4 linked regions of the Saccharomyces cerevisiae S288C genome follow. The protein of the gene in region 4 purifies or fractionates together with the protein of the main gene of each other region. This does not show direct contact. Each region holds a gene or a part of one and is shown on either strand. Other genes may lie near its edges.

Evidence for each region.
Region 1: the proteins of TRX3 (region 4) and GLR1 fractionate together in Saccharomyces cerevisiae (co-fractionation; one large-scale study listed by BioGRID). This does not show direct contact.
Region 2: the proteins of TRX3 (region 4) and TIM11 fractionate together in Saccharomyces cerevisiae (co-fractionation; one large-scale study listed by BioGRID). This does not show direct contact.
Region 3: the proteins of TRX3 (region 4) and CPR3 fractionate together in Saccharomyces cerevisiae (co-fractionation; one large-scale study listed by BioGRID). This does not show direct contact.

What each region holds. Positions count from the first base shown.
Region 1 is NC_001148.4:373,833-377,488, reverse strand, and holds GLR1 (glutathione-disulfide reductase GLR1), read right to left. Parts: upstream 1,988-3,656; coding exon 536-1,987; downstream 1-535. Other genes in the region: 40S ribosomal protein eS6 RPS6A, read left to right, coding at 1-198; SSU1 (Ssu1p), read right to left, coding at 2,320-3,656. UniProt on the Saccharomyces cerevisiae protein: Catalyzes the reduction of glutathione disulfide (GSSG) to reduced glutathione (GSH). Constitutes the major mechanism to maintain a high GSH:GSSG ratio in the cytosol.
Region 2 is NC_001136.10:1,111,502-1,114,017, forward strand, and holds TIM11 (F1F0 ATP synthase subunit e), read right to left. Parts: upstream 793-2,516; coding exon 502-792; downstream 1-501. Other genes in the region: mitochondrial 54S ribosomal protein mL38 MRPL35, read left to right, coding at 1-191; PEP7 (phosphatidylinositol-3-phosphate binding protein), read right to left, coding at 979-2,516. UniProt on the Saccharomyces cerevisiae protein: Mitochondrial membrane ATP synthase (F(1)F(0) ATP synthase or Complex V) produces ATP from ADP in the presence of a proton gradient across the membrane which is generated by electron transport complexes of the respiratory chain.
Region 3 is NC_001145.3:108,977-112,050, reverse strand, and holds CPR3 (peptidylprolyl isomerase CPR3), read right to left. Parts: upstream 1,050-3,074; coding exon 501-1,049; downstream 1-500. Other genes in the region: TRAPP subunit BET5, read right to left, coding at 1-186; CFF1 (Cff1p), read right to left, coding at 1,199-1,804; DUS1 (tRNA dihydrouridine synthase), read right to left, coding at 1,974-3,074. UniProt on the Saccharomyces cerevisiae protein: PPIases accelerate the folding of proteins. It catalyzes the cis-trans isomerization of proline imidic peptide bonds in oligopeptides. This isozyme is required for growth on lactate at high temperature.
Region 4 is NC_001135.5:257,538-260,461, reverse strand, and holds TRX3 (Trx3p), read right to left. Parts: upstream 885-2,924; coding exon 501-884; downstream 1-500. Other genes in the region: chromatin-silencing transcriptional regulator TUP1, read left to right, coding at 1-151; AHC2 (Ahc2p), read right to left, coding at 1,193-1,579; SRB8 (Srb8p), read right to left, coding at 1,808-2,924.

The sequences.
Region 1 (3,656 bases), on a different chromosome or scaffold from region 4:
GCTCCAAAGATCCAAAGATTGGTTACTCCTCAAAGATTGCAAAGAAAGAGACACCAAAGAGCTTTGAAGGTCAGAAACGCTCAAGCTCAAAGAGAAGCTGCTGCCGAATACGCTCAATTGTTGGCTAAGAGATTGTCTGAAAGAAAGGCTGAGAAGGCTGAAATCAGAAAGAGAAGAGCTTCTTCTTTGAAGGCTTAAAGTTAGAAAGCAGTAAAAGATAAATTCTTTTGTTCAAAAACTCCTTTCTTATTCTGTATTTTGTGTATTTTTAAGCTTAAAATCAAATAACTTTATTTTTTATATAATTAACAAAAAGAAAAATAATCATATGTATTGTAAACGAGAGTCGGAATGTATCCTCAACTGAATATCCAAGCGAGTCCACAGTAGCTAATAGTCTGAAAAAAAAAGGAACCCTTGTCCTTGAACAGAAATGACAAAATTACTACGTATTTCAGGATGCTATATAAGATTGTTTACAAGAGTACAAAAGTCCAGTATAGCAACAGCAGATTGGACGTCTAGTTTCGTTGCTTCATCTCATAGTAACCAATTCTTCTGCGCTAGTCGGATGAATAGCAACACAATTATCGAAATCAGCCTTAGTGGCACCCATCTTTATAGCAACACCGAACCCTTGCAAGATTTCTGCAGAGGAATCACCAACAATGTGCAGACCGACAACCTTTTCATTTGGTCCCGCACAAACAATTTTATATCTTGTGGGTGATTTCTCACTCAACATAGCATAGTACATGGCGGTAAATTTGGAATTGTAGACCTTTATATTCTCCTTACCGTACTTTTCAATGGCTTCCTTCTCAGAAATACCAATGGAACCGGCTTCAGGATGTGAGAAAATTACGCTGGGGACGTTCTCGTAATCTAGTTTGTCATTACGGAATTTCTCTGGACCAAACAGTCTATTAGACAGCTTTCTGCCCGCTGCAATAGCGACAGGTGTCAATTCAACTTTTCCAACAACGTCACCTAGAGAATAAATGTTTGGAACATTGGTGTTCTGATATTCATCAGCAATTATTTGGTCATGAGAGTTCAGCTTTATACCTACATTTTCTGAACCCATACCTAGATGGGATTTACGTCCAATTGTCCAAATTAATTCGTCAACGTCATCGATGGACTTTGAGTCATTCATATGTATTTTCAGTTTGTCAGTTTCTACATTTTTCTCCACCTTAACAATTTTGGATAGTTTATGAACGTTGATGCCTTCCTTTACGTAATGGTCAGTAATAGTGTTCTGGATGCATTCATCAAATTTTCTCAAGACAGTTTCACCTCTAATTACCAAGTGCGTTTCGGATCCCAGCCCATGGAACACACCTGCTAGCTCAATACCAATATAACCAGCGCCAACAACAACAACTTTCTTAGGTTGTTCTTCCAATCTAAAGAACCCATCAGAATCAGTACCTAATTCGAAACCTGGAATGTTTTCGGGGAAAATAGCCTTTCCACCGGTCGCAACTAAAATATGGTTAGCGGAGTAAACTTCAGTAGTATTATCCCTTTTCTGAACTTCAACATTACCGTCCTTATTGAATCTAGCCCATCCAAATACAACATCCACTTTTTCTTTTTCTAAATTCTTCTGGTATATACCGTTCAACCTATGGACATAAGCATCCCTTTTCTGCTTAAATTCTGGCCAATTAAAAGTCAAATGCTCTTTATCTAATGGAAGATTCTGATATAATCCATATTCATTTGCATGGGATACTCTAGTAGCGAGGTCAGAAGCATACCACATGACTTTCTTCGGAACACAACCCACGTTAACACAGGTACCACCAAGAGCCTTAGCTTCAACTAGTAATGTCTTCGCACCATAAGATGCAGCTCTTCTTGCGGAAGCAACACCCCCTGAGCCACCCCCGATGACGAGGTAATCGTAATGCTTGGTGTTCGTGGACATAGTTCTTATCTGTAGACTTCTAAATGTTTGTTTGGTTGCAGAAAGCATAAAGTTCTGTAAACTAATATGTAAATAGATATATATACATATGAAGGAAAGCAGCAAAATATACTGAGAGTGAGAAGCGCATGAGAAAAACCAGAAGTGTTTCTTATACTTTTTTAGACTGATTTTAATAGTAGATTCCAAATGGAAAGCTCCGAAATCCTCGAAAAATTGACAAGGGTCGTGCTTACTAAGTGACGTCAAAAAATATCAGGCATAGTGAAAACCAACGTGAAGAAGCAAAAGCAGCAAAGCGCCGTGCAAATGAATTAAACTATCTATTGAGACTCCTACATGAAATGCTTGCCAATTATGTACGTATAAAACCAACAATTTTATGCTAAACGCGTAAAATCTAGAGCCGAGTTTGATTCTTCCACGCTTTCAATGCTGTTATACGGAGAAACTGTCGTCTTTTCCGTACCTGACTCTGAAAATAATGAAGATTTACGGGCAGCATGCAGCATCTTTTTAGAATACTCATGCAATGTGCATAAAAGGCATAGAATTGACCAACAAACGCAAACACCGCCGTATATGGTTCCTAGGACTCTAAATGCATATAAGGGAACGTACTGGTTATACTGCACATATAACTCTTCGTTTCCTAAAGACATAGTACCCATCGGGAAAGTCATCCCCCAAAAACCTTTGTGGAAGGTATAAACTCTCTTCACTTTTCCTGTCTCGTTTTCAATCTCTTTTTTATTGTAGTACGACAGGATTGAAACGACAGAAATCACGGTGAAAAAATAGCCCATAGCGAGCAATGCCATAGCAGAAACCATGCCTAGAATTTTGAAACACCATGGAACTGCAATAGTCAATATCTCTTGTTCTCTTGTAATGTTATCTGTTGGGTAATATTTGCCCGCATATTTTTTTATATTATCTGTAAGCAATAAGACTCCAAAACTTCCTTGGCCCATCGGGCCCAAAAGCAGGAATAAGGTGAAAACCTGTGTCATTGGTGGTATCTTATTAATATAAAGACTCCAGAAGTATATCGCAATCAGTATGAAGACGAAGATAATGGCATGCAGCCACGTTAAGGCACATATGACCAACGTTATCAGTTGAATGTTTCTATTAAACGCATGGAAGAATATTTCTGACATTGTGAATGTTCCACAACTTGAAGCGACGACAACCAGCGGAATGATATCCAGTAGCAATACACTTTTCATGTTTTCGGATGCCATTTTGATATTATATGAAGGATAATTCCCAATCCCTTCCAAAGGGTAATAGTCATGCCAGATGAGAAACGAGATACCCCACGCTATTACTAGACAGACTGCGAGATCATACCACCACAAGACGTAAACAAATATCATCAAATTTCTGGCATTAGTGGGGCTCTTCGTCGTGTTCGCTTTCGAGAGTGCTCCTAAGAAATTTATAATTGTAACTAACCCCATGGGATAAGTACCCCAAAATAAATTGTGCTTCATATTTCTGAAAAAGTCATTAAAATATTCTCTGAAGCTTTTCTCCTTAATATAGACAATCAAATGTAATATTTGTAGTGCCTGCACAGCAATGAAAATAAGGCAAGCGATAGCAAACATGATGTAGGAGCATATTCTTAGCCACCTTGCAGGATATGGGAAGCTATATAGAATATTCGATGAAATGCCGACACCCATGACCATCATAAACATGAAGGGGT
Region 2 (2,516 bases), on a different chromosome or scaffold from region 4:
CTAACATGTTAGAGATTGACCGAAAGGAACTAAGTAGAGATGATTTTGATATCAGGCAATTTACGAAGAAATACAATCTAACCGCTATTGGGGCACATATCTGGAGAAGCGAATGGGATGCCAAAGTCGCCGCCGTCAGAGAAAAATATGGCCTACCACCTGGAAGGGTTTTTAGCAGAGTTAGAAGGTGATCCTAAATAGTATGACATTATAGTATCCTGTACATATAAAATAACGTGTCATTGTTAATAAAGCTTGATGCAAATAATATAAAGTAAGAATCTGAAAAATTTTTGGAATGTGAATTTTGTTTACAATACGATACGTATGATATTAGTATGTTCTAGAATATATACATTTCATTTTTTTCCTTATTGTTTGTGCACTAACGAATGAAGAAAAAAATATGGAACATCTAGCGAACGAGAATCCATCATAACTTCGTCATTCAGTGCGAGCTAATGTGCATTTTTAGTATCCTATTTATGTTGAAGCTTCTATTTATGTTGAAGCTTCCTTCAGGGATTCAACGGCGTTAAGAATAACTCTTTCAAAATCTATATTAGGATCTTCCAAATTAAATGAGGCGTTCGCAGGCACATCTTTAGGAGTTACTACAGGGTGTAGCTTGGCGTATTCCTTCTTTGCCTCCTCTACCAGCTTCAATTTCTCCTCGTACTGTGCCTGCTCCTCTTTCTTCTTAGCATTACACTTCAAAATCATATCATTTCTAAAACCAAAAAATAGCCCCAAACCCAACGCAGAGTATCTCAAAACATTAACTGTCGACATCCTTTAACTCACTCAGCTAGTTCCTATATACGTTATGTTCCGATATAATACTTCCTTTTATCTAAAATTTCTGTGTGAAAAGTCAAAAAAACTAAAGAAAAATTTATACCCTTAAATAGATCTGATTGGCTCCGCGGACCAATTAGCGTGGAGATTCCGCGAATGATCGAATAATAAAGATATGTCTTAATTAAACCCATGGTCACCCAGCTTCGATTGAACGGTATGTATTCTTGAGTGCAATTCTTCTAAGTTCTTATTAAGTGTGACGATCTCCTCCAATCTACGCTGCTTCTTATAGTCCTGAATTGTGGACTCAATAAGGTAGCTTTGTTCCTTTAGGACCATCAATTCTTCTCTCAGCTCTTTCACTTCTTTTATGGTCAAGTTTTCGATCATTAGTTGCGATAATTTCTTTACCTCTGGTTCAGCTTTTTGCCCATCTTCATTCGTTTTATGGCCCTCTGGGTTCAAAATTGCCGGAAGCGACTTCAACGGTAGGATTTTTTCGTTTATGTATGCAGCGGAAGCTATCTTGATCGAATTTTGAAGTTGTCTCTCTAGATGACTTTGAGGTTCTACACTTAAGAGCTGTCTTGTTAGTGTATTATACAAGTTAAAAGAATTGAGTAATTTATGTCTTAATCGAGCGAGATCATTCAGATTCTTTGGATCAAGTGTATTTTCAGAATCCTTGGCAGTCTCCACCTTCAGGCTATTCAATGAGTCTTCAAAAATGGGCAGGAGACTATCAATTACTTTGGATATATTTTGCATGCTATCATATTTAGCAAATATTCCACTTAGCGGCATTCTAACGTCCTTGTTAAATTTCCTGCCAATAAATAGCATATCGATACAGTGCGAGCACAATCTTATGGATATAGGAATATGAAGTAAATCATCCTTCTGTATATTGTATTCGAATGGCAGATCTGACGCTGCAGACATTAAATAACCTATGCTTATTTCGTTTGAGCAGTTCCTGTTTGCATCATCACAAACAACCATACCACATAATCTGCAGTGATGCTTCCTTAGTAATAGCCCAAATGGTTCGGAACATATGTTACAAAAGAGTACACTTCTATCATCTCTCCATGGAGTAACTGTACGTTCTAACTTGGACATTTCACTATTCATCTTCAAATTATGAATAATGGATCTAGAATATGTGTTATAGAGTGTAATCAGACCATCAACTAGACGGACAAACCGATTTTCTAATTGTAATAGCCTTAAGTTTTTGTCCTCTCTTTTTATATTTCGTACCTTAAAGAATTCTGGTGTTAAATCTATTACTTCGCCATAATCGTTATAGCCAGGTTTTGTGACGAAACAATCATGGCAGCAATTGTACCATTTCCCGTTTCTGGGGTCATACTGTGCGGAAAGATTAAGTTTAATCATATTAGGAAGATGCCTTCTGCAATACAGTTTACCACATTTCCTACAATTAATGGCGCCAATATTGTTATTCAAAGTCCTTCCACATGTGTGACAGCAGCTCTTCCCTTTTTTGAATTTTTCCCAATGGCTTCTTTTCAACTTTTGCGCACTGCTATCAACAGATCTGGCCTTTTTTTGTTTACCATTGACTAAACGACTGTCATTGGAACCGAGTGAATCTTCATTATCGTTAAACCCATGCTCAACATCTAAATGTGCATTTAGTGCTTGTAAGTTATCAAACTTCCTTAGACAAATGGGACATGAAACATTTT
Region 3 (3,074 bases), on a different chromosome or scaffold from region 4:
AGACCCTTTGGAGAGCTTTTGTGTAATGGAGCGTAACGAAAATATCATACCATACAGAAGTTTTGCATCTTCTTCATTCTGTTTGGAGTTTATTGTACCACTTGCGCTATTGGACGCCAATGTCCATTCTCTATCAAATATACAGTTACAATGCCTATCAAAGATCCAAAATGAATATATCCCCATGCTCCACTGATTTATGATTTATATCAAAAGCAGATTATCTTACGATAGTTCTGTATTTTTTTTTTGTATTTTTTCTGTAATGTATGTTGGAACTCAATTGTCGAAAATATAAGATCCGGAAATTCTTCAACACTAGTCAATAGTAAAGGACAACATTTCGACTGAGGCAAACCAGAATAAAAGTTGGTTGATTTTTTATGAGCCAGCGAGTCTATATAAAATAAAACACTATAAACAGATATAATTCGTAGACATAGAGATAACGCATACCTTATATGCTAGAAATATGAGAGACCTTAGCTTCATATAAGCCTTCATAACTCACCAGCTTCTTCGATAACGATTTCAGCTCTTGGTTTACCAGAAGCAGTACCGTATGATTCGATTGCTTTGACAATGTCCATACCTTTGGTTACCTCACCAAAGACAACGTGTTTTCCATCCAACCATGGACAAGGCACAGTGGTAATGAAGAATTGAGAACCGTTAGTGTTTGGTCCAGCATTTGCCATAGATAACAAACCTGCCTTGTCATGCTTTTTGACAAAATTTTCGTCAGCGAACTTGGAACCGTAAATGGATTTGCCCCCAAAACCGTTAGTCAAATCAGTGTCACCACCTTGGATCATGAAGTCTGGGATGATTCTGTGGAAAGGGACACCTTTATAGCCCCAGCCCTTTTCGCCGGTACATAAGGCTCTGAAATTTTCAGCAGTTTTAGGAACCACATTATCATATAATTCAAATTCTATTCTGCCGATTTTGGTTCCATTGACCGCAGGATCAAAGAACACTTTTTTACCTAGTCTAGAAGCAGAATTGGAGAATAAGCGGGACTGTTGAATGATGGAACGTTTAAACATGGTAAGTAGACCTTTGTAGTTGCTTGCTTTTTTTTTTGTTTCTTTATGGAATTAAATAGGAAAAAAATATTGAGTTTATTAATAATCGCGGTGCGAAAGGACTAAAATAATTCTTATTGGTTATTTTGATAATAACTAAGTACAAAAGTTCAAGCTAAAAAAGCTAACTCAGCTGCCTTTTCAGGTCCCACAAGATGTTTCAGTTCATCTTCACCCTTCAAGAAGGTATGGTCCTCAAAGTCAAAACCTGGTACCACTACTTCACTAATCAAGAAACCGTTGTCAAATTCTTCGTTTGGCAGAAGGAAACTTGCCTTAAACACACCTCCGGGGACAACCCATTGCGAGACTTCTCCATTCTTATAGTCAAAACCAACTTTAAATGACTTCACTTGACCATCAGGATATACTAGAACGTATTGACCCTTGCCTCTTTGTAAGATATGTATGATCCTGTTAATATTCTTATGAAATTTCCCAATTGGGCTGTCGGGGGTTAGTAGATAATAGATCAACGTAGATTGATTTCTTGTTACCATTTCAGTATTACCTGAGCCTCCATTTACTGGTTTTTCTACTTCCATGGTGTAGGGAGACCTATCTGTTTCCTTAAAATACCCACCTTCTCTATGCTTGATTAATTGCCAATCATTGATCAATTGTTGCAAACTACTTGGTGGCTCAGGCATTGGGACTTTAACGAAACTGGCCGGCTCTATAGCTGCATTTGCAGCTTCTTGTACATTGGCTGACATGCTCTCTATGGCGAATTCTGATTGAATATACAAGTGTTCAAATTGAAAGAAGTTTTCTTATGGAGACGGAGTTGAACATTTTCTGTTTGAATTAATATACATACATAAAAACTATACTTAGAGAAAAGAATAGAAAAGGCAAAGAAATATACATGGATTTTATCAGGTTTTAAGCTTTCACGTCCTTCTTTTTATCAGCAGATTCTAATGGCACGTCAGCTTTACGTTTCTTGTTCACGCTTTCATCTATGAGGCCTTGCATAACTCTTTTATCACCTGTGATACCGTTAACAGGCCTAAAATATGGTTGACATCTCCAGTATGGAACAGTTCTATATGAACCACCCCATGATTGCTTTTCGCCGATAGTAATTTCATCCTTAATAGCGATATCTGGCTGTTCAAATATTTCTTGCACTACTTTTTCGACAGGCTTCACTACTTGTTCCTCCCATTCTTCCCACGTGGCTTTTGCATTCATAGTAGCAAGTGTTGACCTAATATCAGTATGATGCGGCAAGAAAGGCCTTAAAATCTTAAAAAAATGTGATTTCATTGCTGTCTTGGAGGCTTTAGATTCCTGGCATTCTTTGACAATCTGGAAATACTCTCTGATAATCTTATCTACGCGTGGAAATATCTTCTCCTTGTTCTTAGTTTGGCCTACATTGAAAACACCAGGATTGTATAAGTTCCCCTCAGCACTCATCACTGCGTCAGCACCGATATGTTCCATACAACGTGAAATATCTTCAGGATATAAGATATTCCCGTTAGCAAAAAACACGGTTTCTTTAGGTAAATTATCTCTTAGGTATTTGATTGTTTCCCAGTTAGCTAAACCAGTTTTTTGTCCTTTTTGCTCTCTTACTCTCCCATGGACGGTTAAAAATTGAGCTCCAGCATCCAGCACCATCTTGGCGTAATTCAAACTCTTTTCACAGTCGTCAAATATACGTATTTTTGCTGTAACTGGAACTTTCAAATTTTTGTGCAAGGTGTTGATTAAATTGTGTATAAGGTCCCATTCTTCCATCAAAAATGACCCATAGTGACCTTTCTTAGCTATGCCTTGAGGACAGCCCAAATTCAAATCTACCGCATCGCATTTATCTTCCACCAGTTTAGCTGCCGCCAATAGATACTCTGGGTCATTAGCGCAGAACTGTACAACCAACGGCCTATCTACGCTAGAGCCGTCTAAGGAAGACCAATTATCTTCTCTATATTTCTTCGAGGTAGCAAATAATTTTGCATGTAACATGGGAGT
Region 4 (2,924 bases):
GTTATTGATGTTGCAAGGTCATAGGAATTCAGTTATATCTGTGGCTGTGGCAAACGGGTCTCCGCTGGGTCCAGAATATAACGTTTTTGCTACTGGTAGCGGTGATTGTAAAGCAAGGATTTGGAAGTATAAAAAAATAGCGCCAAATTAAGAACAGAACACAAAAGGAACACTTTACAAATGTAACTAACTAAACTATTCTTCAATTCATTGTCATTATATCTTTCTCTCTATTCTTTTTTATCTACTTATTTGTTATGTTATGATCCAGGTACGCTTTAAAACAAACAGTTACTTTCCTCACCATTCATCCCTTCCCCTCCTTTTCCTGTGTTTCTGAATATTGCGGTTCATTATTCTTTGATATGAATTTATTTGTGTATTGTATAAGCTTACTTTCCTTTTATATGTATATGTATATATATATATATATATACTATCTTTTTTCTTATATTTAAAACTAAAAAAAAAAAAACTACATGTGCTCATGAATATAAAATTTATAGATCTTTGATTCCCTTCTCTAAAGCAGTAGGGTTAGCTCCAATGATCTTGCCGATGAGTTGGCCATCCTTGCCAAGAACAAAGGTGGGCATAGCCGTCACTTCACACTCTTTGGCAATATCTGGTGATTCGTCCACGTCGCACTTGACAAATCTTACATCTGGATAAGCCTGAATTAATTTCGTTAAGTGTGGTTGCATCATCTTACAGGGGCCACACCAAGTAGCATAAAAATCGATGACTAGTTTATCATTTTGCTTGATCAAATTCCTAAATTCTGTTAGGTTCGTCAATTTAGTAATACTGGTGTATGAGGACTGGAATCTTATGCTTTTTAGCGGTCTCACCGCCATCCTCATCACAGGCTTATAGAACAACATAACAGCTTTGGTTTCTCTATGTACTAACCAATCCTGCTTTCTTTGGTTAGGGGGCTAGCTCATTTTATATCTCATCGGGGCAATTTTTTCCATCACAGAATACTAGGCAACAAAATCTGCAGAAGCACAATCCACATTTGGAATTAAAAGATAGTGAAAAATGTACATGAACCCCAACCAGTAACTTAAACATAATATTTTGGGTCACTATATCTAGGGCGTTGTTCTTCTTTGTGATTTATGCAATATACGCATATATGTATATATATATAAATATATGTTTAAAAATGTCCATAGCCGCTATTTGATCATAATAAGCCATCTTCATACAAAGCCAACAATTGATCGTTCTCTGCTATATAAGCGTTGATATCTAGGGCAAACTTGTCCCAGTCTATCTGGGGAATGTCGTCGTTGCTAATCCATTTTTGCTTTTGAAATCCGTTCTCTACAGTGAAAATTTCTCGCAGTAAATCCCTATTCTCCGCCAATACATCAACAAATTCCTGGTAATTCTTGGTATTTTGAATTTTGTGGAAAAGAGAACACAGATTCTTGACAAAAGATTCTCTTTCGTTAATAAGCGTCTCTAGCTGTGTTCTTCGTTGTTGCAGTACGATGTAATCGAGATCTTGATGCAGGTCAGTTTTTTGAAACTTGGCCACAGCATCGTGCGTTCCCTTTGGGGTGATCATTCCAGTTTAAATAGACTGGTACACGCTAGTACTGATCTTGTAAGCGGATGAGCACTTTGTCTTAATCCTCCTTAACCATCGCTCATAAACCCCAGTTTTATAATCGGTGGCAAACATGTCATTTGGTACGGTATCATTTAGAGGAATCAATTGGTTGGGTATTAAAACTGACACATAATTACTGTTATTGGTAAATTTATAATTTATCCATTTGGATATATTCTGAGATCAATGTGGATTTTTCCTCTCAAACCGAGCATCAAAAAGACTCAGGTTTACACAGGAATCGTTAAACGCAGTCGTATCATTACTGCCTGTAGCCATGTCATCTGTGTACTTGGTATTATAGTTGGAGATGAAGTGGTACGGCTCCATGGAAAATGTGCAGACATATTTATGATCTTTCTTGTCATAAATGAGCCATTTCTGTTCGTTTTCGTGCGCTATTTCAACTATGCCGATTCCTAAATTTAAACTAAACGATTCTTCTTGGTCTGCATCTTCTTCTTCCCCGTAGTCGCCACTATGAAGTTTTGTTTCCTTAACGAAAGAGGACACTTGGAATGGTGGTAAGTTCAGCAATTTCTTCGGTAGTTCGACCTTACCGCTTGTGTGGAATGCTGGGGCATCAATTGTGGATGAATAGATGGCGAATGATTTCAATGAAGACAAAATTTCGTACAAGAACAGCTTCAATCTTAAATTAAATGATATTTTATCAAACAGCTTGCATATGCTATCAATGAATGGACTTGTGGGTTTATCAGCTGATAAATCAGCGATGATGCGTTGGAAAATGGAATCCTGATGAAAGCTAAAAATTTTCAAGACGGCATCTATTTGGATTTCTCTCTTAGATAAATTTCCTTCGTTCAGTTCACTTAATTGTCTTATGATCTTTATTAGTAAATGATAGTTCTCCATGGAAATAACTATCATACCAGAAGTTTCTCTTTGAAACCTCATCGATAATGACGTTATAATCTCGATCACCACAACGATGTAATTATCATCTATCTTTTGGTTGTTGTTTTGCAAACAAGAAGTGCAGAAATCTTTCTCCACTATTTGGGTTATCATCTCAATGGTCTGCATATCCTTCAGTTGGTCAAATATTTGTGAACATAAATCATTAGAATTAGTTATTTCGATAATTTGGAATATGAAGTTCTTCAAGTCTTCCATTGCCATTGCTGGCTCATTATTCTCCATGATTTTTTTGATGCAGAAACAGGTAAACGCTTGGAAAACCCAAAGATTGGCAAAGTCCATCATAACGTAATATTCTACATGATCAATTTCGTCGACTGTGTGATCATCATCGTCACTTTTATCATCGTTGGTT